4 linked regions of the Saccharomyces cerevisiae S288C genome follow. Changing the gene in region 1 together with any one later gene gives a genetic interaction. Each region holds a gene or a part of one and is shown in the gene's direction. Other genes may lie near its edges.

Region 1 (8,420 bases):
GCACCTGTCGTTCAAAATCGCCAAACTGCAAAGGTTCTGAACGATTTGATTTAATTTTCAATGGACAGTTTTTCGTAGATAAATGGCGCAGATTTGTAATAGGTAGAATTGTGTATGTCCCTGCGCTACCCATATGTTTAAACAGCGGTGAAGTGACCATTTGAGCCAAAGGCTGGGAATAGACACGGCATATACATTTTAACATGCCAATAAGAACATTAAAGTGAACGCTTGGAAGATTTGAAAGCCCATTCTTGCCAGTACGCCAATAAAGTGTGTCGCGCAGAATAGATCTTCATGTAATTCCTTTTTCCCTTTTATGCAATCTATAATGTTAATCAGCGTAGATCACTATATACGCTTTTTTTTTTTTTTTTCAGCTCCGATTAGAGAGCAAAAGAGATGTAACATCGATCCTGCTATAATTAGAATACAAGTGTTGATCTTTAATTGTACTGTTTCTGCGAAAGCTATCGAGCATTTGGCTGTATTCCACTGTCCATTGTATTTTTAACTCTCCTTTTTATCATTCTGAAACATAGAGCTGTTTTGACAAAATTCAGTTTTTTCTCAATTAGTGCTTTCATTCATACGTTCGTTACAAGCTTTGAATTTTAACTTTATTTTCGGGCTTCCACCTTTGCTTCATTATTTTACTTCAGCTCTTTAGCTTTCTGTGACATTCAATTTTATTGTATGACAGCACGTCGTTTGATTAATATAGTTCCTAATACGTCTAAGCTAGACCCTTTAAAGGAGGAGGACTCAACGCATCTGAAACAAAATCAACCTAAGAAGTTTTCCACAAAGGAGTTGATGCTTTCAGAATATACCGAACGCAAAAGTTGCAGCCTTCCGTTGTCTAAATCCCGATCAGGCAGTAGTGCATCCAGTAGCACTACAGGTTCGAACGGAAAGAATATTGGAACAAGACGCCCTAGCTCCAACCTAGATTTCAATTTCGCTAGCCAAGATGTTGTTAAAAATGTATTAGGTAATAATAATCCACACGTACCCACAGCGAAGTGCATTAGGCCAATATCAGATGATTCTATAGGTACATCGAGCACAGAGATATTTTCTTCATCGCACTCAAATACGACATCTGATTCTTTATGTACATCAGATATAAGCTCAGAAGAGGGTGAAATAGCAAACAGTAAGATGGAGGATAACTGCTTCTTCAAAAGTATGAGAGAAGCTGACCATAGAAGCAATATTACGCCCTTAAAGAAAAGCCGACCGGGATCAATACTACAGAAAACACGTACAGCAAGTAGCGCTGATAAAACAATCTGCTCAATGAGTACCATAACTACATGCATTCCATCTCGTCAAAATTCGGTGTCAACTCCTAAACTCTCCAGGACAGTAGGGCTGCCTGGATCGAGCAATACAACCAACAGTATAGCCGCATCACAAACTTCATTCATAAGCGAGAATGACTCTCCTCTTAAACATCATTGCATGAGTACCGCAACTATCCAAGAACCAAAACTCATGCCGATCACAAAAACGCCGTATGTGCATTCCAATAGTACTTCTGTAATATTACCATATAAAACAACCCAACTTACTCCTTCTCAACGTTACCGTTTAAGGAAAGAGCAAAATGACCAATCTTTGCGTAAAGCCATAAAAATGAAAGAAAAATTTTATGAAGATCAAGACGTTAACTTGGAACTTCAAGAGGGCGATGTCGACGGCTCGTTAATTTGGAACATTCCAATGGCATCTTTATCGACCAGTTCTTTTTTAACATTATCTAAGTTTAATAGAAAAGAAATGAGTTTAGATTCAGCGCGGGGGGATGAAGAGATATTAATACAGGAGAACAATTGCGAAGGCAAACAACACTCATCTTCGGCTCTCTGTGTGGACAAAACTTTCCATCAGGTTCATAGTACTAGAAAACATACATCAAATTCAAGTAACACTTTAAAAGAATCATGTCTGGACTATAAGGAGCTTCCGCCAACATGCATTCCTGGTATATCTCCTGTGTCTGATTCACAGTACATCCAGGATACAATGAAAAATCTCTCCCAAATATACCTGCATAGTTCCGAAAAAATCTCCAAAAGTATTCTTTCTGGTCGTTCAAGATCTGTACAGAGTTTACCACTGGAATTTAAAGAAGCCAGTAGTCAGGGAATGGAAGACCTAATGCTAGTTTCAGAGGACAAACTAAAGGCCGTAAGTCATTTCCGTCCGAGTTGGCTCCCGCCCAAGGATTTCAAAGAGAGGAAATTGCAAGATAAACAAATCTACAAAAATATCGACTTAGCATCAATGGAAGAGTTGCAAAAAAATAAAGAACGTGACGAAAAAGCCAAAAAGAATGAGCAGAATAAGGTCAAATTCCAGCATTTACTGGACCGAGGCATTACTCGTAACTCGTCATTAAGTGAATTAAAGAAAATTATTTGGGAAACACCTTTGATATCTAAAGTACGGCTTCAAATATATAGTCAACTTCTACAAAGTGACAATTGCTTGATAACAAAATGTTTTATTGAATCATTTGAGGAAGTAATGCAGCTACTCAACAAAATGGATTTTCCCAAAGATAAAGAATTTGAAATAAGACAGCTTATTGAACACGATGTACAGGAAAAGGTTTTTTATAAAAATGGAACAGATAAGCAAGTGGTTTCTGACTTGATGCTATTACTGCAACTGAAATCTATATCTCAACAAGGTTTGGTTACTGGTGATGAGATGCTATTCTACCATTTTTTAACTGATCAATCTTTTGGGACTTTGAAGGAAACATGGGAAATGGTCAACTTGATACAGATGACGTGCTTCAGTGAAATTTGCAAGGAAAAATACGATTCAAGAATATTAAATCCCAGAGGAATTGTTGCCCATCTTTTACGAAAAGATGAGTTCAAAAATGAATTCAATGGCGGATGTTTGAATAGCAATACATGGTGGAACATATTGCAAAGAATGGACCATAAACTTTTTATGTGGGTAATGGATGTAATTATCGTTCATAATGGCCAAAACTTTGCAAACTACCCCGTAAAAATGGAAATATTCAAAGACAAAGTATGGGAATACTATAGATCTAAGAAGGTTATTGTAAATTATAAGATTTTGGTTTCACTAACAGTTAACGTATTGTTAAACTACCACTTCGGATATGATAATCTGAAACATTTATCAGATTTGGATGATAAGCATTTTTGTATTCCACTGTATACGGAGGATAGTATCGAAGAGGAAAACCTCAATAATATTTTCACAAAGTGGTGGTTGCACTACTACCGAAAATTACGTTAGCGTGTATGTGGCACGTACTAAAAGTTTGGTGACCAGACTATCTCTTCTTAAGTTCATTTTCACTCTGAAACTTATAAATGCATACATACAGAAATTACTTTCGATTAATATAATAATATATTTTTAATAAACAATGAACTAATGCCCTTATTGTGTTTTGTTATTAACCTTTTCATCACCATTTTTTTTTGCTAGCTTCTACGGCATTCACTTACGTGCTGCAAAATTTCGCAGCATGGAAGAAATTGTTCGCGAAGAAAAAAGATTTCGCTCAGTGATTTGTAGTGACAATAGGTACCAGTGTTATCACTAAGTATATCTTTTAGTATATCTCTTCGCTTGAGGAGGGATCAAAAAAAAACAAACGTAAACGTGCACATAAACGTCAAGTACTTTTTGCAGGCATTAATATTCGTCTCCAACAAAGACAAATAAAGAAGCAATCTTTTCATTACCTTAAGCCAGTATCTATTGATATCAATCGATAAGGTTCGTTGTTATCGGTGCTAAAAATTATAAAGTGAAAATAAGAATCTTTTCATGTCGTGCTCAAACGGCATCTGGCCTACTGTATCTAATTTGTGCGGATCATTATCCTTCTTCACCTCTGTTATTTCATTGTTTCCACAAATAATTGAGACTTATCGAGATAAATCTGTCGATGGGCTATCGCCATATTTTTTGCTGGCTTGGTTATGTGGGGATATTACCTCGCTGATAGGGGCAAAGCTAACAGGGCAATTGTTATTTCAGATACTTTTAGCAATTTATTTTCTATTGAATGATTCTTTTGTATGTGGTCAATATTATTACTATGGCGTGCTGCATGAAAATAAATTGGCGACTGTCGGCCATGAGCCTAAACCTCTTCTTCCCGAACTGGTTGAAAATGGTGAGCTTTTGAGGGAGGAAGAGGACATGATACAAGGTGGTAGCAGTGCAGAAAGCCCTAGAAGCAGTAGAAGAAGGTCTGCCATTACAGCAGCCTTGGCTATAGCTCATACTATAAGTACAGCTAGCGCATATCCGCTAAATGTAGGCTCCACCCAATCACAAGTGGGGCCTCCCGGAGATGGTAAAAACAGCCAGCTGGGTACAATTTTATCTTGGATTGGCGCTTCCTTCTACGTAGGCGCACGTATCCCACAACTAATCAAGAATTACAATAGAAAGTCTACAGACGGCTTATCTCCCTTCCTATTTGCTACTACACTACTCTGCAATATCACGTATAATTTGAGCATCTTCACAAGCTGTAGATTTTTAGATAATCAGAACAAGAGGGAATTCATCGTGAATGAGTTGCCCTTTATATTTGGAAGTGCTGGAACAATTGCGTTTGATTTGATATACTTCTACCAATACTATATCCTTTATGCAACTGATATGCAACTACGTGAACTGGAAAGAGAACTATACAGTCCTGAAGAAGACAGTGCAGCGCAACTAGTGACAGAACGTACATCACTGTTGTCTGGTGAAACGCAAACATAGTTTTCCCTACGGAGTACTACCATTTATATTTAAACAATGCACTCTGCTCTTGGGATAGTCCTTGCGAGACCCTTTTTTCCCAATAGGAATACTACGTTCGTACTCTGTGTAAAAGTACCCAACTATAGTTAGCGCCAGTTTTACGTAAAACCGTCTATGTCTTGTTTGCATTCGCAACAGCTACAAACACATATAGTTTGTCACACTAATATTAATAATGAAAGTTATTATGTATTCACTGTGAACGCTTCAGTATACAGTACGGCAGTAAGTGTTTCATTCTGTTCTGGATTAATAATCTTTCACTTTGCCTAGCCATTTGGGGGCGGGTTTTGGCTGGGTTAGCTTCTCCTTAGTCATGGAGAAAAAAAATCGCCCGCAAGTATCTCGAAAAAGGAAAAAATGCCCACGCGTATAAGAGTGGACCCAACTGCTCGAGGTTTCAAGAGCTTGTAGATTAATTTCTGTAGTTCAGTTATACTTGCCTACAAGTGCTATACAGCAAATAGCGAACAGTACGAAAGTAAACATCATATTATCAATAATGGTTCACAACAAAGTTACTATCATTGGTTCAGGTCCAGCTGCACACACCGCCGCCATCTATTTGGCCAGGGCAGAAATCAAGCCAATCCTATATGAAGGTATGATGGCGAACGGTATTGCTGCCGGTGGCCAGCTAACCACCACTACAGAAATCGAAAACTTCCCAGGTTTCCCAGATGGTCTAACAGGTAGCGAACTGATGGACAGAATGAGAGAACAATCCACGAAGTTTGGCACTGAAATTATCACGGAAACAGTTTCCAAAGTTGATCTGTCTTCCAAACCATTCAAGCTATGGACCGAATTTAACGAAGACGCAGAACCTGTGACGACTGACGCTATAATCTTGGCCACAGGCGCTTCTGCTAAGAGAATGCATTTGCCGGGCGAGGAAACCTACTGGCAAAAAGGTATTTCTGCCTGTGCCGTGTGTGATGGTGCCGTCCCCATTTTCAGAAACAAGCCATTGGCCGTCATTGGTGGTGGTGACTCTGCATGTGAAGAAGCTCAGTTCTTGACCAAGTACGGCTCAAAAGTGTTTATGCTTGTCAGAAAAGACCATTTGCGTGCTTCTACCATTATGCAAAAGCGTGCTGAGAAGAACGAAAAAATTGAAATCCTTTACAACACTGTTGCGCTAGAAGCTAAGGGGGATGGTAAATTATTGAATGCCTTGAGGATTAAGAACACTAAAAAGAATGAAGAAACCGATTTGCCAGTCAGCGGTTTATTTTATGCAATTGGCCACACTCCAGCAACAAAGATTGTCGCTGGCCAAGTCGACACTGATGAAGCGGGCTACATTAAAACTGTCCCAGGCAGCTCATTAACCTCCGTTCCAGGATTTTTCGCTGCTGGTGATGTTCAGGATTCTAAATACAGACAAGCTATTACTTCTGCTGGCTCTGGTTGTATGGCCGCTTTGGATGCTGAGAAATACTTAACTTCCCTAGAATAGATGAATTTTCCATTATAAAATAGATACACTCAAATTTTTGTATACTTATCCAACAAATCGTTACTTTCTCCTTTTCTTTAATAAAAAGCAAACCATGAATTTTATTTCTTTTCCCCATTATTAGAGAAAGCCAATACATAATCTACATATATTGCGTGTCTGAATTAAACTTTTTAGACACATGACATAGGCCATCGGCTTACTTTGTAACGCGTGGTTGCCTATACACCGACTATTAAGTTATGACTAATATTATTGCTGCGCTTCCCCACCTGCATTTTTCTTGTCGTCTTTGCCAAAAGGAAAAAAAAACCTACGCAGATTGACTCTCTAAAAAATGATTCATGACCAGACAATTCAGTAAACATAAACTCTGTTGCATTCATTCTTCTGGAAAACTTTATAATAAAGCATCTGATATTACAGCTACTGACAACTAAGTGAATTTAAACTGCAATAATCACAAGAAAACTTAGTATTCCCTTATCATGTCCGAGGCGACTTTGCTATCTTACACCAAGAAATTATTGGCTTCTCCGCCGCAATTGAGTAGCACAGACCTACACGATGCGTTGCTGGTTATATTAAGTCTTTTGCAAAAATGTGATACAAATAGCGATGAGAGTCTTTCCATCTATACCAAAGTTTCGAGTTTTCTCACGGCCTTGAGAGTTACTAAACTTGATCACAAGGCTGAATACATTGCGGAAGCTGCAAAGGCTGTGCTCAGACATTCCGACCTTGTTGATCTACCTTTACCCAAGAAGGACGAATTACACCCGGAAGATGGACCAGTAATCTTAGATATTGTAGGTACTGGTGGTGACGGACAGAATACTTTTAATGTTTCCACGTCTGCTGCTATCGTTGCCTCCGGAATTCAGGGCCTAAAAATTTGTAAGCACGGTGGTAAAGCTTCTACATCCAATAGTGGAGCTGGTGACCTAATTGGAACTTTAGGCTGTGACATGTTCAAGGTTAATTCATCGACAGTGCCCAAACTTTGGCCTGATAATACGTTCATGTTTCTACTTGCTCCTTTTTTTCATCATGGAATGGGCCACGTTTCTAAGATACGCAAATTTCTTGGAATTCCGACTGTTTTCAACGTACTGGGACCACTTCTACATCCAGTTAGCCACGTAAACAAGAGAATATTGGGCGTTTACTCAAAGGAACTTGCGCCTGAATATGCCAAGGCAGCCGCTTTGGTATATCCAGGAAGCGAAACTTTTATAGTTTGGGGACATGTTGGGTTAGACGAAGTATCACCTATAGGCAAAACTACTGTCTGGCATATTGATCCGACATCGTCCGAACTTAAATTGAAGACCTTCCAATTAGAACCTTCTATGTTTGGTTTAGAAGAACACGAGTTGTCGAAGTGTGCTTCATACGGCCCTAAAGAGAATGCGAGAATTCTAAAAGAAGAAGTCTTGTCCGGCAAGTACCACCTTGGCGACAATAATCCTATTTATGACTACATCTTGATGAACACCGCCGTGTTATATTGTTTAAGCCAAGGTCACCAGAACTGGAAGGAAGGGATCATTAAGGCAGAAGAAAGCATACATTCTGGTAATGCATTACGTTCTTTAGAACACTTTATAGATAGTGTGAGCTCCTTGTAGACATTATTTCATATGTTATACTTAAACTAGATAGAGACGTTTTATTTGTACTAAGCTGAACATTACCCTAATTACGCGTTATAAGTTTTAATCCTTCATTTTGAAGGAAAACAAATAAACAAAAAGTTGATGTGGAACAAATACAATGTGCGCGGATATCTTAAGCAACTTCGTTAGTTACAGTCCACACAAAGCGAAAAAGGGCTGATAAACACTCATGGACGAAGCGTCACATCTCCCAAATGGGAGCTTGAAGAACATGGAATTTACGCCTGTAGGATTTATCAAATCCAAGCGAAACACCACGCAAACACAAGTTGTATCGCCTACTAAGGTTCCAAATGCCAATAATGGTGATGAGAACGAAGGCCCTGTTAAGAAAAGGCAGAGAAGAAGCATTGATGATACAATTGACTCCACAAGGCTATTTAGTGAAGCTTCACAATTCGATGACAGCTTTCCAGAAATTAAGGCTAACATTCCGCCTAGTCCAAGGTCAG
Region 2 (8,225 bases), on another chromosome or scaffold:
CAATGGGTCAATGTAGGTACTGCAGGGAAATTCAATCTTGGGCTGCTGTGTAATAATAATTAAATTAGCAATTTAGTAATCACACTGTATAATTGCACGCTATCGTTATACATATTATTTCTCTTTGAAAACGGAAGGTGAAGAACAAATCGAGAAAATGTCTGTTGAACCAGTTGTTGTCATTGATGGTACGTAAGATTTTGCACTAATAATTGAATGTGTTTTCCTTTCCCAGCCGCAGGATTTGCTCATAGTGCACAGCGTTTACGAGTCCCCAAGGAATATGATAAAAATATTACAGCCGCAGAAGGGTGGAATACAGAAGGGTCTTCGTAGATTGTGTATACGCTAAAACATGGAGATAGAGAGAGATGGGAATTATGAACGGGAAAAACAGGTTTTATTTAAAGGATAATACTAACAAATCCATTTTTTTGAATGAGCATCCATTCATTCATCAATAATAATCTTCAACCAGGTAAGGGTCATTTAGTAGGTCGTTTAGCTTCCGTTGTTGCTAAGCAATTATTAAACGGTCAAAAAATCGTTGTTGTTAGAGCTGAAGAATTAAACATTTCTGGTGAATTTTTCAGAAACAAATTAAAGTACCATGATTTCTTGAGAAAGGCTACCGCTTTCAATAAGACCCGTGGTCCATTCCATTTCAGAGCCCCATCTAGAATCTTCTACAAAGCTCTTCGTGGTATGGTTTCTCACAAGACTGCTCGTGGTAAGGCCGCTTTGGAACGTTTAAAGGTCTTTGAAGGTATCCCACCTCCATACGATAAGAAGAAGAGAGTTGTTGTCCCACAAGCATTGAGAGTTTTGAGATTGAAGCCAGGTAGAAAGTACACCACCTTGGGTAAGTTGTCTACTTCCGTTGGTTGGAAATACGAAGATGTTGTTGCCAAATTGGAAGCAAAGAGAAAGGTTTCATCCGCTGAATACTATGCCAAGAAGAGAGCTTTCACCAAGAAAGTTGCCTCTGCTAATGCTACTGCTGCTGAATCTGATGTTGCTAAACAATTAGCCGCTTTGGGTTACTAAGAAATTAAAAATAGTTTTTCTTTAATACTTTACATTTTGTAATATAATCACAAATATTTTTTAGAAATAATAAAAACCAAAGAAACCATTCCTCCCCGTTACAGTTTAGATTACCTCCCCTTTTTCTTTCGTACTTTTTATATTTTTATCGTTTGATATTTACAAGAAATTAAATCTATCATATAGCCTTTATTTACTAAAGCCTATGCTTAAGGTTCTCGTATACACAAAAGGTAATGCAAGTGGATGGAATGGCCCGTACTAAGTTTGCAGATAGGCCCTTATAAAGTCCAACAAAACCATCATTAGCAATGATTAATTTTATCAAAGGAAAGAGCCTAAATTTTTGCTCATTGGCCCTGAAACTTTGTAAGTTTGATTTCAATAATTGAAAAGGGTAAACCAAAGTGACGGAGACCATTTTTCCCAACGATGTGATTTCAATGGTTTCAAGATTTGTTAAATGGATGTCAAGCCCATTTTCCCTCTTCCGTCGCAATTTTCTTTGCTTTAAGGTATCGTAAACTGCAAAATATAAGGCACCTTGCGAAACACCAAACAGTGCGGGTACAAGGCCCTTCCATAGGCCCTGGAAGCCATCAGTTCGTAACAGTTGTTGGACACCGTTGTACATAGAAGTGTACGCTCCTTGGGCGCCTTTACTTGTAGACATTATCCTGGTCTTTATAACCCAGATAGGGTTTGTTAGGATAGCTGTCATCAACCCACTGGAAGCACCGGCAGACAAATAAATAAGCGAATTCATTTTGTGGTCGTTCCCAACACCTTTAAGCTGTGTTTCCCCTGGCTTTGCCACTGACTTGTATATCAATTCTTTCGTGACACCATATAAACCGAAATAAACTCCCCATGCAATGGCATTTCCAAACAAATTTATGCTTAATCCGCGATACAGTTCGTTCGTAACACTACGTCCACTATTCGCCGACGAACGTATAATCTCTTTGATTACCATAAATGGGCCGTAATGGGCCTTTTGTGCGCTTGTAGCGGATAATTGCAAACGAACCTTCAGTAAATCTAATGGATGCACTACCAATGTGGTGACGGATCCCGCGGACAGACCTGAGATAACCTCCTTCTGCAGTGGCGTCCACTGGTGATCGACCATATTATCAAGAGCTTCCTGCTGCGTGCTGGTTTTGCAAAGTACAAAGACAAGATATTGTACATATTCCTATGAAAGCTACTGCTCTTCACGTACTCCTTCACTTTTTTTTTTTCAGTTTAAGTTTTCCAATTTTTTTGTAAGATGAACCTTTCAGCAAATCTGTTAAGAGTCAATTTCCTCGGTAAGAAATATAAAATATAAATGAATATAGATTATAAAACAGACTGTACTTAAACAGCCCCCGTCAATACGATAACGCAGTAAAATAAATGCTCATCATGATAAATCCAACAAAAAAATAAACGGAAGGAAACTGAAAAGAAAAAAAAAGGAAACGAAGAAAAACATAATTTATCGTTTGATAGCAGTAAGTCGCAGATCAAGTCGCGCCTGTATCCTTACAAACATGACGACATTGAGCTGTACAAAGCTATGACCAACCGTTCCATAATTAACTCTTTTCAACACATTGAAAATAAGACTTCCCCCATCGAAGCATCAAGTTCTTGCATGTCACAAGATACTTGATCGTAACCTCCTGAAGGTCCCTTTCAGAAACACATGGAGTGTAGTTTACTAGGAAGGAAGAAGAGACATCGAAAACTTTTTCACTTTATATAGGTGAGAAAAATGGTGCAAGAGAGCATGACCGTGTATGGTGACATATAAATGGTTGTTGGCAGCGAATTTAACAACACTGCAGATGTAGATGTCGTAGCTATCCTTCTCACGTTGTTGAATGCTGACTATTTTGTTATTAAGCAACGCCTTGTTAGTGCTTGTTTTACAAAGCGTATTAAATGGTATTTTATTTATGCTATCGCTTTATTATCTTTATTTTCATCACGTAACACGGTGTGTGCGCCATATTAATGTTGCAACAGTCGTGAGGTGATTAACAAACAGTATCAGACTAAACTCACCCTTTGGTGATATGCAATTTCTTGAGGCGCAAAAGGTTGATCCTGAAAGCTTTTGTGATAGACTACCTTCAAGCAAAGCGAACGTAAACGGCAAAGATGGATACCAGCAACCACAACCAAGACCACGACTCCCACGTGGCGGCACAGAGGGAGAACGACAATAATTATATGCCACCTTCCCCCTCCATGAGCGAGAGTTCTATGATTTTTGAAAGAAATGTAGAGGACCCATCATACCTTTATAAAACGGTGTCAAACAACGCTGCAAACTCTCTCTCTAGGCAGAGCAGCAGGACCAGTTTGTTCAATCATAATAATTCTAGTAATAGGAACTTCCATAACTTAAGCCAGAGATCGTCTGCTGTGAATCTACATTTGCAACCTTCTAGGACTAATGAGTCAATAGCATCGTACCAGACATACAATCCGGATTTTGTTGTGCAGACTCCACTGGATCACCGTCGTACCTTAGAGAATTTCGTCCCTCCTGCATTAGACGCTGGCTGTTCTATTGTAACTGACGACACGACTGGCCTTGATGACGTTGATATGGTTTATTCGAGAAGGCCATCTACCATCGGCCTGGATAGAGCCCTAGGTAGGACAAGAAGTCTTTCGTCACAATCTTTTGATAACGAAACGTCGCCTGCGCATCCAAGATCTCCCAACGACCATGGTTCAAGACTACTAAGGTTTTATTCCTACGCTGACATGTTGTCCGATGACAACAATAACAACGTTAGTAATGCGACATCAACATCATCAACTGCGAACCCCTTGAGAAGACCCCCAATGCAAGGTCACTACTCGTTCTCGTCGTCCCTTTTGAATTCTCCTTCTCATTTGCCTTCCCCCCCATCAGCTTCGGCATCACCACCTCAGCATATGAACTTCACCAACCCTTTCATCATATCTAGACGTTACTCTAACACAACGATCAACAATGCCAATGGGGGAACCAGCGCTGGAAGCACTACGGGGGCCGCACTATCAAGATCGCCATCGAACCAACAGTACTTACTTAAACAACAAAGGTCACCTTCAGGGAGCGCCCGTTCAAGAAGAAACAGCAATAGGCCCGGCAGTGCTGCCAACATTATGATCGGGAAACCTAAATCCAAATTCCATATGGAATCCAGTGGCAGTGAAGGGTTTTCTTCCGAAGAGGAGGACAACACTATGATTGAAAGAGATAAACTCAATCTAAAGCAAAAATTGCAGTCACAACTGGCACAACCACCATCAATTGCCAACATGGTTAACGATAATCACAATAATACTAATAAACACAAGAATACTATTAATAATAACATCAAAAATAGCCCTGCGTTCACAAACTCGAATCCAAGTTCAAAATCAAATTCAAACTCTACAATAACCTCTATGAATCCAGACACAACCAAATAAAGAAAACTGAAGGGCCGCGATTGTTCATTTCTTCAACCTTCTTCTCCTACTCTAAAAATTCATTTAAGTCTCTTTTTTCCATATATATAGATATATAACGGTATTTTATGTATGCACGTATACCCCAATAATGCCACTAATTTACTCCGTTTTCCAATCCATAATCAGCAAAGACCATATGTGATTTCAAATATAAAAAATGAGAAACATGTGAATATGTATATATGTTATGCGGGAACCAACCCTTTACAATTAGCTATCTAACTAGTCCTTTTTCGAGCTCCAGAATTTACCATCACCCTTATCATTCCATTCTTTGAATTTGTTCTTGGCTTCATCGTACTTTTTCAACGCTTCATCGTACTTCTTTTGGGCCTCATCTTTTAAAGCCTGCTTGTCATTGTCGACCTTGGAAGTCCATCCAGACCACCAGTGGCTGCCGTACTGTTTCAAGTCCTCCTTCGCCTTAGATAACGAGTCCATGGCATCGGACACGTTCTTATCCAGTTGTTTCTTTGAATTCTCATAATTCCATCTTAAATCGTCCATTTCGTCCTTGGAAAGTTGAGCGGCTGTTTCACCCCATCCTTCTAAACCTCTGGCTACCCGTTCAGCAATCTGTTGCTCGCTTTGCTCCCCTTTGTTGTAACCAAACCAGCCCTTTTCCTTGATCTTCTTCAGCTCGTCAAGACGTTTTTGCGCCTCGCTTGGCTCTGAAGAAGCATTTCTCTTGGCTTCCTCCAACTCTTCTCTACCAAACTCCTGTGCCGTATCACCCCAGCCTTGGACACTTCTTGCAGCGGCTTCTTCAGTATTAGCGTCACCCGTGTTATTCTTCAACAGGCGTTTCAAAGGATTACTGTTCCTTTCCTGTTGGTCTAGCTTGTCCGAAAGCTCATTAAAGTCTCTGGCTCTCCCGTACCTTTCGTACTCAATGGATGCTCTGTCCAGAGCGGCCTTCTTCTCTCTCATCACCGTGGACAAGAGCTCCTTCTCATTACGATCCACTGCCTCTTCGAAACGCTTCTTAGCAGTATCAAATTCCCCGATGGCTATGGCTTTCCTTCTTTCAGCCTCACTAAACCCCCAATTGAAGATGCTTTGCGAGGAAGAATCCTTGGCTTTTTGGCCTAGCTGCTTGCGTGTCTGAGCATCCTCTTCCGGTGATATCACACGCTTAGTTACCTTTGGAGCCTCTTCCCTAGCCTTTTGAGATACGCCCAGAAGCGCGTCTTTTAACGACAAGGCATCTTCCTTTATGCCTTGCTTTATGTTATGTAGCTTTCCCAACTGTGGGGGTGCTGAACTGCCGTACTCCTGGCCGTTGTAGTAAGCGGAGACGTTGCCCTCTCTTCTCTGACCCTTGGCCTTCTGTTCTCTGACCATGATGCTAGCTGTGATGGCAGCTGCCAATGCTGCACTGCCGACAATTATTCTTGATGACATCCTTATCTGCTTGTTTTATTAAATGATTAACGTTACTGGCCAATCAAAAATACCCTTTATTTCAAGAAAGGGCAAAGAAGCAGGACTTTAGCAAGAACCGTTTCCCCTTATATATACTCCTCTTCAAGGAACTCGACAAAATAAGGGTCAACAAACTCCTCCCTTAACCCACACGGGCCACCGGCGAGCTTGTGCTCCTGCGAATAGCAGTACACTATTGGTTGTTGCAAATCCTGACGATTCACTTTCAAACACCATGCAGGCAGGAGAGTCAAACAAGACTGTTTGCTGTGTTATTGTCACCGCTGATGGTTGTGATGACCACCGCTTACCTATGACGAGGGGCAACGTCTTCACATTTCATGTTTACCACCAATATGCCAATTATTTTAAGAAATCTGCATAACAGAAGGACGCCAGCTGGCCATAGCATTTATAGATTCCTGCATTAATGTAACCGTCCGCACACCGTATGTATCAGCTTGTCAATTATTATATGAAATGTATATATATTTACGAACTTCAATTTTGTCAACATATTTCTGGAACAAGACTGGCTGGAACGGCTCAGCACACACAGGACAGAATATCAAAATTCTCGAGTACTTTGAGAACCCCCTTCAAGTGAGGTACCACCCTTGGTTGTAGTCTTGTATATTAATCCTTCTTTTCTTTAGTATAAATCGATCCTTTCTATTATACAATTCGCCGGTAATTTTTCAGTGAAAAACGAGTTTTGCAGTCAAACCATTCCTGGATGTGCTATACAAAAAAAAGGTCCGAAGACGTGTAAAGGATATATAACGCCAGGTTGATCATCACTAACCATCATGTCTGATAATTTGTTATCTTTAGAGAATCCGGTGGTGCCTAGTCACTATGAGTTGCGTCTAGAAATTGACCCTAAGCAGTCGTCGCCCAATTTCAAAGGATCCGCCATAATCCATTTGAAATTCAATCCGAACTCCACCACCTTAGCTTCTATCGAAGACAGTTTTACCCAGTTCAAGTTACATTCCAAGGATTTGATTGTGTTGTCTGCACATGCCACCATAGGGTCTACTAAGTTTGATCTAAAAATTTCTCAGGACACTGGAAAGCATTTGTCGATTTTCAACTCTGAATCTCCTATTCAATTGTCCAACGATTGCCCTCTGATTTTGTCCGTGCAATACGTGGGTAAAATTCGTGACATAAAAACACATCATGATAAGACTTTTGGTATTTTCAAAACCAATTTTATGGATCGTAAAACCGGTACTGCCAATAATCACGTCGTTGCTACTCACTGCCAACCGTTTTCCGCTAGCAATATTTTCCCATGTATTGACGAGCCTTCAAACAAGTCCACTTTTCAATTGAACATTGCAACGGATGCACAATATAAAGCCGTTTCCAATACTCCTGTAGAGATGGTCGAAGCTTTGGATAGTTCTCAAAAACATTTGGTGAAATTTGCCAAGACACCTTTGATGACTACTTCCGTATTTGGTTTTTCTATTGGTGATTTAGAATTTTTGAAAACGGAAATCAAGTTGGAAGGTGATAGGACTATTCCCGTTTCAATTTATGCACCTTGGGATATTGCTAATGCAGCTTTCACTTTAGATACAGTCCAGAAATATCTACCTTTGTTGGAATCCTATTTTAAATGTCCATACCCTCTGCCAAAGTTAGATTTCGTCCTACTACCATATTTAAGTGACATGGCAATGGAGAACTTTGGTATGATCACCATCCAACTAAACCACCTGCTCATACCACCAAATGCCTTGGCCAATGAAACCGTCAGAGAGCAAGCACAGCAACTCATTGTCCACGAACTCGTTCATCAATGGATGGGCAACTACATATCTTTTGACTCGTGGGAATCTCTTTGGTTTAATGAGTCTTTCGCTACTTGGTTAGCTTGCCACATACTAGAACAGAATGGTGACCTATCCCATTATTGGACCTCGGAACCTTATTTACTACAGCAAGTGGAGCCGACCATGTGCAGAGATGCAGCTGACGTTAATGGAAGAAGCATATTTCAGATTGCGCAACGGAACACTGGCATAGATTCTCAAACCTCCGATATTTTTGATCCTGAGGCATACACAAAGGGTATTATCATGCTGAGGTCCCTGCAATTGGCTACAGGCGAATCTCATCTACAAAAGGGCCTGGAAAGTGTATTTGAAGATACTAAAACATTTCATGCGAGAAGCGTCAAACCAATGGATATATGGAATCATATCGGAAAATTTTTGAAGTCTCAAAATATTACA
Region 3 (10,027 bases), on another chromosome or scaffold:
ACTAATGCTTCTTCTTCCTCTTTGGACCAAGTTCTTTTCGCCTTTGGTTTTCTTAATCCGATACTACCATTATTGTTGCTGTTACTGCTGTTGTTATGAGAGGAATGAGGACCAGAGCTGCTGTTGCTCATCGAGGCCGCAACAGCGGCATCCACAATGGATTGTGTGATAGCGGGGTTTTTGGAAGACACATCTGTGGTAGGTGTATGTGTGCTGTAATGATTCGGACGAGCAGTTGACAAAAAAGCAGACGCACTGCTTGGCTGATTTTGGTCGTCCATGAATTCTACGGTCCTGGTCCCTGTAGAAAAGAGTACTTGAGGATCAAACTCGTTGACATCAAAGTCATATAATGGTGATTTTCCGCGACCCTTTCTGCCCCATATGATGAGACCCATATTTTTATTACAATAATCCAGCAACTCTCTGATAAATTGAGCCCATTCGTAGCTCTGGGTCAGAGAGTTAAAATCTTGGACGATCTTTAAATTTTCTCTCCGACGATCGCACCTTTCGACGAAGTCCTTCTCCGATGGAGTCAAAAGTGTAATGTCTCCAGAATCGCCGGTTCTTCTCTGCACGAGAATATCAGCCAGATTGGATGGGAAGATTAAGTCTAGTAGCTCTTGTTTCTTTTCTAAAGAAATTTCGTTCGTCTCGTCCTGAAACTCTTTCAAGCCGGCAATGTAAGCCTGTGTTTTCAGATCAAGATATAGGATAGCCTGCGATTTCAAAAACTTTCCGCTTTGTTCCAGGGAGTTGTTACCGACAGTGTTTGTATTTGGACAGAAAATATCGAGAAATATCGACTGTAGCAGCTCAAACCCGTAATTAAGGCAGTTCAGCGACGTCAATAGAAATGTTAGCAGATTCGCCTTTCTTATGGCAGTAATAATAAACGCTTCGTGGCCTCTCAATATAAGGGGGGGAGGGGAGTTGGGAAACCATAAACCAGGCGCCACGTCGTGAACAGACAGTAACGGAGATCTGGTGTGGTAAATCATTCTGATCTGCTTAAAGAGCTTGACTAACGTTTGAAAAATTTCTGTTTCGCCTGAGCTTAGGAAAGCCGTCTGGTCCGTCAAAACCGCTATAATATTGGGAGAGTTGGCATTAAGGATAAGAAACCTCAGTAGTTGAGTGGAGATATTGTCCAGCAGACATAATGAGCATATGGTCAACCTAGTTCTTGCAGGCAGGCTTTGGATGATGTCATTGAAGCGGTTTAAGCTTTCGTTATTATTGGGCACTTGCGAATCCATGACAAATGGGGAAAGAAGTGAGTAAAGAAAAACTAATGTAAAATGATTTCTGTCGCAGATGGGACAGCCACAATCTTAAATGTTGGCAAGGATATAGGAGCAAAACGCCAATATTGAGATGATTGTTTATTATAATGTTTACAAGGAAGGGCAAAGCATTGAGGAAAATTAGTCGGAATGAGGTCTCGCCGGGCTTCTACGGAAAGGGGCGAAAATTAATAGGGCACGGTGCAGAATATTAGGGCTTCAAATGTTCAGATTTTAAAGCCTTTTCTTCAAATACAATAATTAATTTTACACACTGTACCTTGCATATATAAGAGAAGAGAAATTTATAAACAGTATAGTTAGTTAGTTAAGAATGGAATTTGAATAAAATCATAAAGGAGATATTTACCGAATAAGTAACAAATAGAGAAGGGAGAGATTAAAAAATGAAAATTTACAGTACCGCCAACAAACACTTGAATAAGATTGAAAATTAGAGAGAAAAAAATTTAGAAATAATACAAAATACTAATAGTGATGGGACACAAAAATGAAGAAAGAAAATAGGTTTGATAGTATTGCTATCACCATTGACATTCTCGTTTGGATATTCACTTTTTACGTGGAGAGTTTGACCTTCTTCTTGTTTAGTTTAATAATGCCGGAGGGGCCCTTTGGTTGCACTAACTCGCCGTTTTCAACACATTTCTTGATAGCGCTATTGAACAGATAGTCAAAATTTGAGCTTGTTTTCAACTTGGAGGAGAAAGTGTCCTTGACATACTTCTTTAAAACGATACGGCTGGAGCCCTTACCGTCATTAAGTTGAGGCATGCTTTTAAGGATCATTTCCTTGTAGGTCAATGAAGAAGGCGAAGAGGCCTTCTTGGCGGTAACAGTAGGCGATTTTTTTTTCACTACTTTCTTTGGCGCTAGCTTCGTGGATGCGGCTTTCGCTTTTGATGCGGTTGCACTCACAGAAGTGGCGGCTTGCTTGGGTTTTGGACTGACCTCTTTTTCTTTCTTTACTTCTGGAGATTTCTTCTTGGCCAGTTTCACAGCACCAGCGGGTCCCTTTGGCTGTTCAAAATCGCCGGCCTCCACACCCTTCTTTATGGCATTGTTGAAGTACAAATCAAAGTTGCTTGCGGATCCGACGATCGGGTAGTTTTCCTTGATAAACTTCTTGAGTGCCGGACGACTGGATCCCTTACGTTCCTTCAAAGCCGTGAGCCCTTCAATGATCAACTCCCTGTAACTCTTGGAGGAAGCTTCCTCCTTTTTTGCCGTGGTTTTCTTGATAGCGGCCTTGGAAGTTGATTTCTCCTTGCCTTTGCTGGTTGCAGGCTTCTTGCCCTTACTTGTGGTCTTGGTAGTGGATTTCTTGGGTGCCATGTTGCTTTAGTTGTATTATAATTGCTTCCCTCGCTGCCAAGCATTATCAGGTGCCCATAAATAACAACTCCCCAAATCTATAGTTGCTCCTCCTCTTTAAATAAAGGCAGATAAACAAAAAACTTTGACCGCCCGCTTTTCCACACAAAAAACAAACAACAGCAGAAAACGCGACGCGAAAATGAAAAGCCAAAGAGAACAAACAAAAATCATCCATCAAACCTGTTATTGTGCAGAATAGCTTTTACCTAGACGCAAGTCCCTAGGAGGGGGCATTTTTGACACAGAATAGCATTTCATCAAAGCAAACAGCAACTTCTTGGAGATTTGTATTGCTTGGCATGTCAAAATCTAGCGGTCACATCAGTAGGGTAACAAAATAGCACGTCAGGGTTAAGGCGGCCTACTGCTTAGGGTACGTGGTAAGTGATGTAAAATGTGAGAAGGAGAAACTAGAAAAAAATTTTCCTTTCTTTTTCCTAGCGATGAGATGAGATGAAATTTTTCGAACAAATGATTTTTGGCACAGTTTACATATCAGTTATATTGGCTGTCGTCACAGGAACTACAAGTACAAACCAGAACCATTTTAGCTGATCACCAGAATGACGCAATCCCTAGGTATCGAACAGTATAAACTGTCAGTCGTATCTGGTGGGAAACCCGCTTTGAATAATCTCAGTTCAGTAACCGGCAATAAGAATATCGCCCGCCTATCACAAGACCAACGAAACTATATTATACCCTTTAACAATCAGATCAAGGTGTATTCTGTGGAAACTAGACAATGTGTTAAGACTCTAAAGTTTGCAAATAACTCCTTGTTATCCGGAATATTTCTGCAAGAAGAAGAGAATAATGAATCGATTGTAAAGATTCTGCTGGGTGATATAACCGTTCCGCAACAAGAAGACGCTCATCTGATTACCGTATTCACCAATAATGGTCATGTAATTGTTTTAAATTATAAGGGGAAGCTGGTCGAGTCCCCTAAGCATTTCAAAATCTCTTTGGCAGATGAAAAGCTTGCAAATGTTTTCCATAGCGAGGGCAACTATAGAATTTTGACAACGTTCAAGGACCCTAGTCAAAAGGCACATAACTCTTTGCAATCGTACAGGTTATATGCATTAACCTTTGACGATGCTAAAAAGCAATTTGAAGTGGCTCATCAGGCAGAATGGCACAACGTTATCTTGTCAAATATTTCTTCCAATGGTAAACTGCTAGCGCATATGTGCAAAGACGTCTCAACAAAAGATCACGAACACAAATCCATCTCAGTTGTTTCGCTTTTTGATGATTCTGTAAATTTAAGCTTTCCCCTCGGTTCCATCCTTTCTTCACAGACTCAATCCCTATCCTATAACACAAGGTACGTTTCTAGCATGGCCATAGACAATATGGGTCAACAACTGGCTGTTGGATTTGCCTCCGGAGTTATAAGTATCGTAAGCCTGGCCGATCTACAAATAAGACTGCTCAAATGGCATATAGACTCTGTGCTGTCACTCTCATTCTCTCACGATGGATCCTATTTGCTATCTGGTGGTTGGGAAAAAGTTATGAGTTTATGGCAATTGGAAACAAACTCTCAACAATTCCTGCCTCGTTTGAACGGTATTATAATCGACTGTCAGGTATTGGGACCTCAAGGGAACTACTACTCTTTAATCCTACAAATGACTGAAAACAATTCAAATTCTGACTACCAATTTTTACTTTTGAATGCTTCTGATTTGACCTCCAAATTGTCGATTAACGGGCCATTACCGGTGTTCAATAGCACCATAAAACACATTCAGCAACCAATCTCGGCCATGAATACCAAGAACTCCAACTCAATTACCTCTCTCAATCACTCTAAGAAGAAACAATCTAGAAAACTAATTAAATCGAGAAGACAAGATTTCACCACTAATGTAGAAATAAACCCTATTAACAAGAACTTGTATTTCCCACACATTTCTGCTGTTCAAATTTTTGACTTCTATAAAAATGAGCAAGTTAACTATCAGTATTTAACATCAGGTGTCAACAATTCTATGGGTAAAGTTAGATTTGAACTGAATTTACAAGACCCAATAATAACTGATTTGAAGTTCACCAAAGATGGGCAATGGATGATTACATACGAAATTGAGTATCCGCCAAATGACCTCTTATCTTCCAAGGACTTAACTCATATCTTGAAATTTTGGACCAAAAACGATAATGAGACAAATTGGAATTTGAAAACGAAAGTAATAAATCCACACGGGATAAGTGTCCCAATTACCAAGATATTGCCTTCACCAAGATCAGTTAATAATAGTCAAGGCTGTTTAACGGCTGACAACAACGGTGGACTGAAATTTTGGTCCTTCGACTCTCATGAGAGCAACTGGTGCTTGAAAAAAATTTCTTTACCAAACTTTAATCATTTCAGTAACTCCGTTTCTTTAGCTTGGTCTCAAGACGGGTCTCTAATATTCCATGGTTTCGATGACAAGTTGCAAATTTTAGATTTCGACACTTTTAAAAAGTTTGAATCATTGGAAAATACAAAGACGGTCAGTGAGTTCACGTTAGACTCTGAAATCCAAACCGTCAAGTTGATTAATGACACAAATTTAATAGTGGCCACCAGGACTACATTAAACGCCATCAACTTATTGCGGGGTCAAGTCATAAATAGTTTTGACTTATATCCGTTTGTTAACGGAGTGTATAAAAATGGTCACATGGATAGGCTTATTACTTGTGACGAAAGGACAGGCAACATTGCCCTGGTTATAAATCAACAACTAACTGATCTCGATGGCGTACCAACTATCAATTACAAATCCCGTATTATTATATTCGATTCTGACTTATCTACAAAATTGGGTAATTTTACGCATCATGAATACATATCTTGGATTGGTTGGAATTATGATACTGATTTCATATTTTTGGACATAGAATCAACACTAGGTGTTGTCGGAACCACTGTGAATACTCAACTATCTGATGAAGTTAATAACGAAGGAATATTGGATGGCCTGGTAAGTAACACCATCACAACTTCGGCATCCAATAGCGATATTTTTGCAGAACAATTGCATAAACTGTCGTCTAGGGGCAAAAAAAGTGACACTAGAGATAAAAATACCAATGATAACGACGAAGATGAAGAAGATATCGCTTTGGAATTTATAAATGGCGAAAAGAAAGATAAGCTAGTCAATATGAATAGTTTTACGAGCATGTTTGACAACATTCAAAACGTGCAAATGGATACATTTTTTGATCGTGTGATGAAAGTATTAACATAGCTTTAGGGTTCTTCCATTGGATATCCAAAATAGATATAAAGGTATATATATATATATATATATATATATGTTTATAAAGCAAACCGAAAGCAAAAATATCTGTATAACTTAGTTACAAGGGAAGGGAAGAGAATGCATTGGTTAATAGGAACAGACACTTCGTAAAAAGCTTCACAATCATTAATGTTAATAGAACTATCATAATATACAAAAAATCTCTTCATACGATTTTTGTTTGATGAGCATCCTCAGTCAAGATGAATAAAATAATCTCTCCAAATAAGCCGCCTCTTTTTTTTTGAATTACACTTCTATAGCGTACATTTCCATGTAAGAAGATTGAAGTTTCAAACAATTGGGTAGCTTAATATTTGTCAAACTTCTTGGTAGGTGTTGTGTTTAAGAAAAAGGAGGCACCATAAACTATTAACTTTTTAGCTTGCCTCAACTGTCAACCGAATCAAATTTTAAAAGGCGTTAAACAAAAATGGCCTCGTCTCTTAACGAGTTAAACTTGGTTCAAGTACTTGAACAAGCAAGTAACCCACAACATATTAGGTCAGATGTTCAAAAATTAGCCGAACAACAACTAAGACAATGGGAGACTCAAGCGGGATTTCATTACTTATTACAGTCAATCTACCTTAATTTATCTAATTCTTTACAAATTAGATGGTTGGCGGTAATTCAATTTAAGAACGGCGTGGATAAATACTGGAGATCCACTAGAATTAACGCTATACCTAAAGATGAAAAAGCCTCGATAAGAGGTCGTCTTTTTGAAATGATCGATGAACAGAATAATCAACTTTGTATTCAGAATGCCCAAGCTTCCGCAAGGATTGCAAGGCTAGATTTTCCCGTAGAGTGGCCAACCTTATTTGAGGATCTAGAAAACCTATTGAACGATGAGATCATCAGAAAAGATTCAGTTAAGATTTACAATATATTGATGCATATAAATCAAATCGTTAAAGTATTAGGTACTGCGAGAATAGGAAGGTGCCGACCCGCTATGCAAAGTAAAGTTCCTTTGATATTACCACTAATTGTCAGGATTTATTTACAATCATTTGAAGAATGGACGACATCCTCCAATCTCAACTACGAGGATCTTTCCAGTTTACAAGTTTCTTACCTAGCTTTGAAAGTGCTCAGAAGGATAATTTGTGAAGGATACGACCGCCCTCAAACCGATCAGTCTGTTTGCGATTTTATTAAACTATCCGTTTCACACTTTGAGATGTTAATTTCAAACCATGAAAACTTCAAAAAGTTTGATATTTACGAAAAGTTTATCAAATGCCTAGGAAAGTTATATTTCAATTTAGTCACTGGCTCTCCGGCTAATTTCATATTACTGCCATGCTCTACGCAAATTCTAATCACTTATACTAGGCTAATTTTCGATAAGGCCCCTAAAGTATATAGAGAGAATTCTGATGTCACGGGGGACTTTTGGGAACAGACTGCTATTAGAGGGCTTTTAATTTTGAAAAGGGTCATTAATTTCATTCACAAAAAGGGGGCAATTACGTTAAAAGCAAGAAGTGATAAACTAACCATAGATGCTTCTATCAACAAAATCAACACAGAATTTCTGAATGAGAATTTGATAACAAGGTTGGTTGACACTTTAATGGAATGGTACTTGAGGTTAAGACCAACTGAATTAGAAAATTGGTTTATGGATCCAGAAGAATGGATAAACGAACAAATGGCCACGAGTTACGAATATCAAATCAGACCATGTGCAGAGAACGTTTTTCAAGACTTAATGAATACTTTCTCTGAGCTGTTGGTTCCCTACCTGTTAAAGAAAATTGAAAATGATGCTTCAAAGCTATCAAACTCATTAGACGATTTTTTAAGGAAAGACGCAATTTATGCAAGTTTCCAATTAAGTGCATCCGCTGTTAGTGAAATGGTAGATTTTGACAGGTTACTAATTCAGGTTTTTTTACCAGAAGCTACAAATACAAACATATCAGGCGACGAATTAAGGATTATCAGAAGAAGAGTTGCTTTAATTATAAACGAATGGTCTACTGTGAAGTGTTCGGAAGAATCTAAAAGTTTATGTTACAAGTTATTTACAAACTTCCTGACAGATGAAGACGACAAAGTTGTTTTGTTAACCACAGTCCAGACTGTCAGAACCATGGTTGATGACTGGAACTTCAACAAGGATACTTTTCAGCCATTTTTAACTGAAAATGTTCATTTATTGTTGAGGAAAATTTTACCATCTGTGTCGTTAACCGAGACAAGGCTATATGTTTTAAACACCTTGAGCGATATCATAATTCAAACAAAACCTTTAATTAGCAGGGATCTATTAGTCGAAATTTTGCAAATCATACCAAACCTTTGGGAAATAGCAACAAATAATGCTAGTGAGGCTATTTTGGCAAACGCATTGTTAAGGTTATTGAGAAATTTGGTATCATCTTTGGGATCACAGTCACATTTAACGTGGGATATCGCCATACCTGTGGTTGCATTAGCCTGTGATCCCTCTTCTATGCAATATCAGTTGTTAAGCGAAGACGGGTATGAACTATGGGGCATGCTTCTTCAAAATTTTTCATCCCACGATCAAGAGTTTGACGATAAGTTCGTTGAATTGGTGCCATTTCTAAAGTATGGTATTGAGACACACACAGAGATTCTCCCAACTTTACTTGAAATTATCAAAAGTTATGCTCTGATTCTGAATCCTGTGGATTTTTTCTCTAACAACACATTTCAAGATATTTTTAAACAAATGTCTAAATATCTTTTAAAGTTAAGGGAAGATTCATTTCAGTTGGTTTTAGAAATCTGGGAAATTTTGATATTATCCAATGAGTCGGATTACGAAAATCTGTTATTGCAAAAATTCTATGAAACCGGAGTATTATCAGCATTATTCGATGCCATTTTCCTGGAAGAAGCTCCTTCATCTTATTTATGCTCGCAAATCATTCAAATCATCGCTAGAATATCCTACGTGAATCCAGACGCCTTAATGACTTTTTTAGCTACATATCATGACAATCTACCAACTTCTAACGAAAATGCACGCATGCCGGAATCAATAAGAAAAATTGTGTCTAAGGATCAGACGTATGATTCCGTTGTAAACAAGCTTTTAACCGGATGGATAGTATGTTTTAGAGATATCTTTGATCCTAAATTCAAAAAAGTTCACATATTAGGTATTTCAAGTTTACTAAGGACTGGTTTAGTTCCTATTTTGACTGAGTTTTCATCCATCGCATCTTTATGGATCGAAATGCTCGAAGAAATTAATGAAACTAATCGTGGGGATTGCGAAAAATACCACTTGAATGATATTGTTACAGAGCAATCAATTGCATTCCATCCTTTAACTGCCGAACAATTAAGATATCATCAATTATGCAAAAACAATGATCCAGTGCATAACATTAGTTTAAAAGATTTTATTTCCCAATCAATGGAATATCTAGAATCACATTTAGGAGTAGAAAGGTACCAAGAATTTTTGAAGACTATTAACCCTAGTTTACTAGAGAACTTACAAATGTTTTTATCCATCCAGCCTCAAGAGGCTCGTCCATGATAGTAATAAGTACTAAATAAAAGTAAAAAATTGTATATAGTTCGACTAACAACATTACAGTGGTATCTTTTGATCGCGCATTCTATACTTTTATTTTGCTACTAATTAGATGTCGCAGTTTTTTTTGTTTGCTTTTTGCGTAATACAAAAACAAACGCGAAAAGTGTTCATGTAATATAATGAAGTAAACCAAGTCTCACGGAATAAAATCACCTTCTTCCAATTTTGTAAAAGTTTAACCAAAGATCCAAAGTGGCTTGTAGGAATAATGGATTATAGTAACTTTGGAAACAGTGCCAGTAAAAAGTTTCAAGACGATACTCTAAACAGAGTAAGAAAAGAGCATGAAGAAGCCTTAAAAAAGTTGCGAGAAGAGAACTTCAGTTCAAACACGTCAGAATTGGGAAACAAGAAGCACTATAGAGCACAGGAAAGGATGAGTTCGCCATTACATAGATTGTCTCCCACAGGTAAATCAGACGATAGGAAAGTGAAGAGCC
Region 4 (3,545 bases), on another chromosome or scaffold:
ATTTGATTCATTGGATAATGAACACTACTTCTCGGAAACAAACAATGAAAAACAAAATTCAATTTAGCTTAGAAGCCCAATTGGAAATATTACTTCTTATTAAATCTTCGTTCATTAAAGGTGGCATCAATGTTAAATACACTTTTCCAGCAATAATCACAAATTTTTGGAAACTGATGAGGAAATGCCGTATGATACAAGAGTACCTTTTGAAAAAAAGACCCGATAACAAGACGTTACTTTCCCATTATTCCAATCTTTTAAAGCAAATGTTTAAATTTGTTTCTCGTTGTATCAATGATATCTTTAATTCTTGCAACAACTCATGCACAGATCTGATTCTGAAACTGAATTTACAATGTGCCATTCTAGCTGATCAATTGCAATTAAACGAAATTTCATATGATTTTTTCTCACAGGCCTTCACAATATTTGAAGAGTCTCTAAGTGATTCAAAGACTCAGTTACAGGCTTTAATATATATTGCTCAGTCTTTACAAAAGACAAGATCACTCTACAAAGAAGCTTATTATGATTCTTTGATTGTCAGATGCACACTCCATGGATCCAAATTATTAAAGAAACAAGACCAATGTCGTGCTGTTTATTTATGCTCCCACCTCTGGTGGGCAACGGAAATTTCAAATATTGGTGAGGAAGAAGGTATCACAGACAACTTCTACAGAGATGGTAAACGGGTGTTAGAATGTCTACAAAGGTCTCTCCGTGTGGCGGATTCTATAATGGATAACGAACAGAGTTGTGAGCTAATGGTCGAAATATTAAATAGATGCCTCTACTATTTTATTCACGGGGATGAGTCCGAAACTCATATATCGATAAAATACATCAATGGTCTGATCGAACTAATCAAAACAAACTTAAAATCGCTAAAACTAGAAGATAACAGTGCCTCTATGATTACCAACTCAATCAGTGATTTGCACATCACCGGAGAAAATAATGTGAAGGCAAGCAGTAATGCTGACGATGGCTCTGTAATCACAGATAAGGAATCAAATGTTGCCATAGGATCGGATGGTACGTATATTCAATTAAATACTCTGAACGGATCTTCCACGCTAATACGCGGAGTCGTAGCAACTGCTTCAGGTAGTAAATTACTGCACCAACTGAAGTATATCCCAATCCACCATTTTCGACGCACTTGTGAGTACATTGAAAGTCAAAGAGAAGTTGACGATCGTTTCAAAGTCATATATGTATAGTTAAATAACGTACTTGCTCTTCGTACATGCCCAAGATAAAAAAAAACTACACAAATAAAGCTAATAAAAATTTACCTAAAGAAGGATCATAGATTAAGTGGAAGGAAACTTGTACATAATTCGAGTTTATTTTCAACTAAGATATCAAGGATTGTTTACTATAAAAACACTTAATTGGGTAATTTCTATTTTTTACTTTTTTTCTGTGTTAAAAAAATGGGTCGCGCCAATGCGCTCACAAATCTATTCTTATCCCTAACTTACATCTACATGTAAAGCGCCACTAAGAGAGCTATAGCTTATCATACATTTACATCAGGTAAAGTATCATTTTGGCCAGTGGATACGAATTTAATATATAATCTTTGCTTTCCCTTCGCTCTTAAATTCACCAAGCAAGTTTGTTAAGAAATAAAGGAAAGGGGGCTCAAAAACCGAATCAAGTAAGACAAGAAACATGGGGTACAGTACTATTTCCAACGATAATGATATCAAAGTATGTGTGATAATGGTTGGCCTACCAGCTAGAGGAAAGTCTTTTATTTCCCAAAAAATTATCAGGTACTTATCGTGGTTATCCATAAAAGCCAAGTGTTTTAATGTGGGAAATTACAGAAGAGACGTGAGTGGAAATGTCCCAATGGATGCTGAGTTTTTTAACTTCGAAAATACAGATAATTTTAAACTCAGAGAATTGGCTGCCCAAAATGCCATAAAAGATATTGTTAATTTTTTTACTAAAGAAGACGGATCTGTGGCAGTTTTCGATGCTACTAATAGTACACGTAAAAGAAGGAAATGGCTTAAAGATATATGTGAAAAGAATAATATTCAACCGATGTTTTTAGAGAGCTGGAGTAACGATCATGAACTGATTATAAATAACGCTAAGGATATCGGTAGCACATCTCCTGATTATGAAAACTCTGAACCTCATGTGGCGGAAGCTGATTTTTTGGAAAGAATTAGACAATATGAAAGATTTTATGAACCTTTGGACCCCCAAAAAGATAAGGATATGACGTTCATTAAGTTGGTCAATATTATTGAAGAAGTAGTAATTAATAAGATCAGAACATATTTGGAAAGTAGGATTGTATTTTATGTTATGAATATTCGTCCTAAACCAAAATATATCTGGCTCTCCCGTCACGGCGAATCGATCTATAACGTAGAGAAAAAAATTGGCGGGGATTCATCACTGTCTGAAAGAGGCTTTCAGTACGCTAAAAAATTGGAGCAGTTAGTGAAAGAGAGCGCAGGAGAAATAAATTTGACCGTGTGGACTTCCACCTTAAAAAGAACACAACAAACGGCAAATTATCTTCCCTATAAGAAACTGCAATGGAAAGCACTTGATGAATTAGACGCTGGCGTTTGTGACGGAATGACGTATGAGGAAATTGAAAAAGAATATCCTGAAGATTTTAAAGCACGTGATAATGACAAATACGAGTACAGATATCGTGGTGGAGAATCATACAGAGATGTAGTGATTCGTTTAGAGCCCGTCATTATGGAATTGGAGCGCCAAGAAAATGTTCTCATTATAACTCATCAAGCCGTACTTCGGTGTATATATGCATATTTTATGAACGTTCCACAGGAGGAATCCCCTTGGATGTCAATCCCACTACACACATTGATCAAGCTGGAGCCTAGGGCCTATGGCACAAAGGTCACCAAAATTAAAGCAAACATCCCTGCAGTGAGTACATATAAAGAGAAGGGTACAAGCCAAGTAGGTGAGCTTTCTCAAAGCTCAACTAAACTTCATCAACTGCTCAATGACTCTCCTTTGGAAGACAAATTTTAAATTTTACTTTTTATTTTTGTGTATCTTAAGTCCAAGCTTACTTGTGGCTGATACGCACAATCTTTTATGTACGAAAAGATCAGGAAACGTAGCATTGATGGTTTTTTATGTACGTCTGCAGCATTGTATGTAATTATTACCCAAACTAATTTTAAGTGAAATTGTAGAACGCCGCGGCGGAAGTATTTTTGAGTAAAAAAAAAAAAGTAAGATTCGAAAATGAAATTATACAGTACAGAAAACGTAAATATACAATAAAGGTTGAATAAACATACTAGATATCCTCCTTTCTTTTTGCATGTACATAGTACTGGTGTAAACTCGATATACCGATGGTCAGATTTTTTGGTTTAAACAAGAAAAAGAACGAAGAAAAGGAAAATACAGACTTGCCTGCAGACAATGAACAAAACGCAGCAGAAACGTCGTCTAGCAACGTATCTGGAAATGAAGAAAGAATAGACCCAAACAGTCATGATACGAACCCTGAAAATGCAAAC

What was found.
Region 2: mutations in TRP4 (region 1) and VHS2 together harm fitness more than expected from each alone (negative genetic interaction), as found in Saccharomyces cerevisiae (one large-scale study listed by BioGRID).
Region 3: mutations in TRP4 (region 1) and KAP120 together harm fitness more than expected from each alone (negative genetic interaction), as found in Saccharomyces cerevisiae (one large-scale study listed by BioGRID).
Region 4: mutations in TRP4 (region 1) and FBP26 together harm fitness less than expected from each alone (positive genetic interaction), as found in Saccharomyces cerevisiae (one large-scale study listed by BioGRID).

What each region holds. Positions count from the first base shown.
Region 1 is NC_001136.10:1,177,970-1,186,389, forward strand, and holds TRP4 (anthranilate phosphoribosyltransferase), read left to right. Parts: upstream 1-6,777; coding exon 6,778-7,920; downstream 7,921-8,420. Other genes in the region: ATP22 (Atp22p), read right to left, coding at 1-205; SBE2 (Sbe2p), read left to right, coding at 697-3,291; YPQ2 (Ypq2p), read left to right, coding at 3,832-4,785; thioredoxin-disulfide reductase TRR1, read left to right, coding at 5,330-6,289; SPC110 (Spc110p), read left to right, coding at 8,138-8,420. UniProt on the Saccharomyces cerevisiae protein: Catalyzes the transfer of the phosphoribosyl group of 5-phosphorylribose-1-pyrophosphate (PRPP) to anthranilate to yield N-(5'-phosphoribosyl)-anthranilate (PRA), the second step in tryptophan biosynthesis.
Region 2 is NC_001141.2:91,349-99,573, reverse strand, and holds VHS2 (Vhs2p), read left to right. Parts: upstream 1-3,198; coding exon 3,199-4,509; downstream 4,510-8,225. Other genes in the region: 60S ribosomal protein uL13 RPL16A, read left to right, coding at 158-188, 479-1,047; flavin adenine dinucleotide transporter FLX1, read right to left, coding at 1,244-2,179; YIL134C-A (uncharacterized protein), read left to right, coding at 2,849-3,052; OM45 (Om45p), read right to left, coding at 4,774-5,955; TMA108 (Tma108p), read left to right, coding at 6,786-8,225. UniProt on the Saccharomyces cerevisiae protein: Can suppress the synthetic lethality of the hal3 sit4 double mutation when overexpressed, suggesting that it is involved in the G1-S transition.
Region 3 is NC_001148.4:306,960-316,986, forward strand, and holds KAP120 (karyopherin KAP120), read left to right. Parts: upstream 1-6,428; coding exon 6,429-9,527; downstream 9,528-10,027. Other genes in the region: TBF1 (Tbf1p), read right to left, coding at 1-1,262; HHO1 (histone H1), read right to left, coding at 1,869-2,645; NAN1 (Nan1p), read left to right, coding at 3,251-5,941; SPC29 (Spc29p), read left to right, coding at 9,796-10,027. UniProt on the Saccharomyces cerevisiae protein: Functions in nuclear protein import as nuclear transport receptor. Serves as receptor for nuclear localization signals (NLS) in cargo substrates.
Region 4 is NC_001142.9:128,785-132,329, reverse strand, and holds FBP26 (fructose-2,6-bisphosphatase), read left to right. Parts: upstream 1-1,686; coding exon 1,687-3,045; downstream 3,046-3,545. Other genes in the region: retromer subunit VPS35, read left to right, coding at 1-1,229; SSY5 (Ssy5p), read left to right, coding at 3,378-3,545. UniProt on the Saccharomyces cerevisiae protein: Monofunctional, high-specificity fructose-2,6-bisphosphatase, which releases phosphate from the 2-position of fructose 2,6-bisphosphate. Has no detectable 6-phosphofructo-2-kinase activity.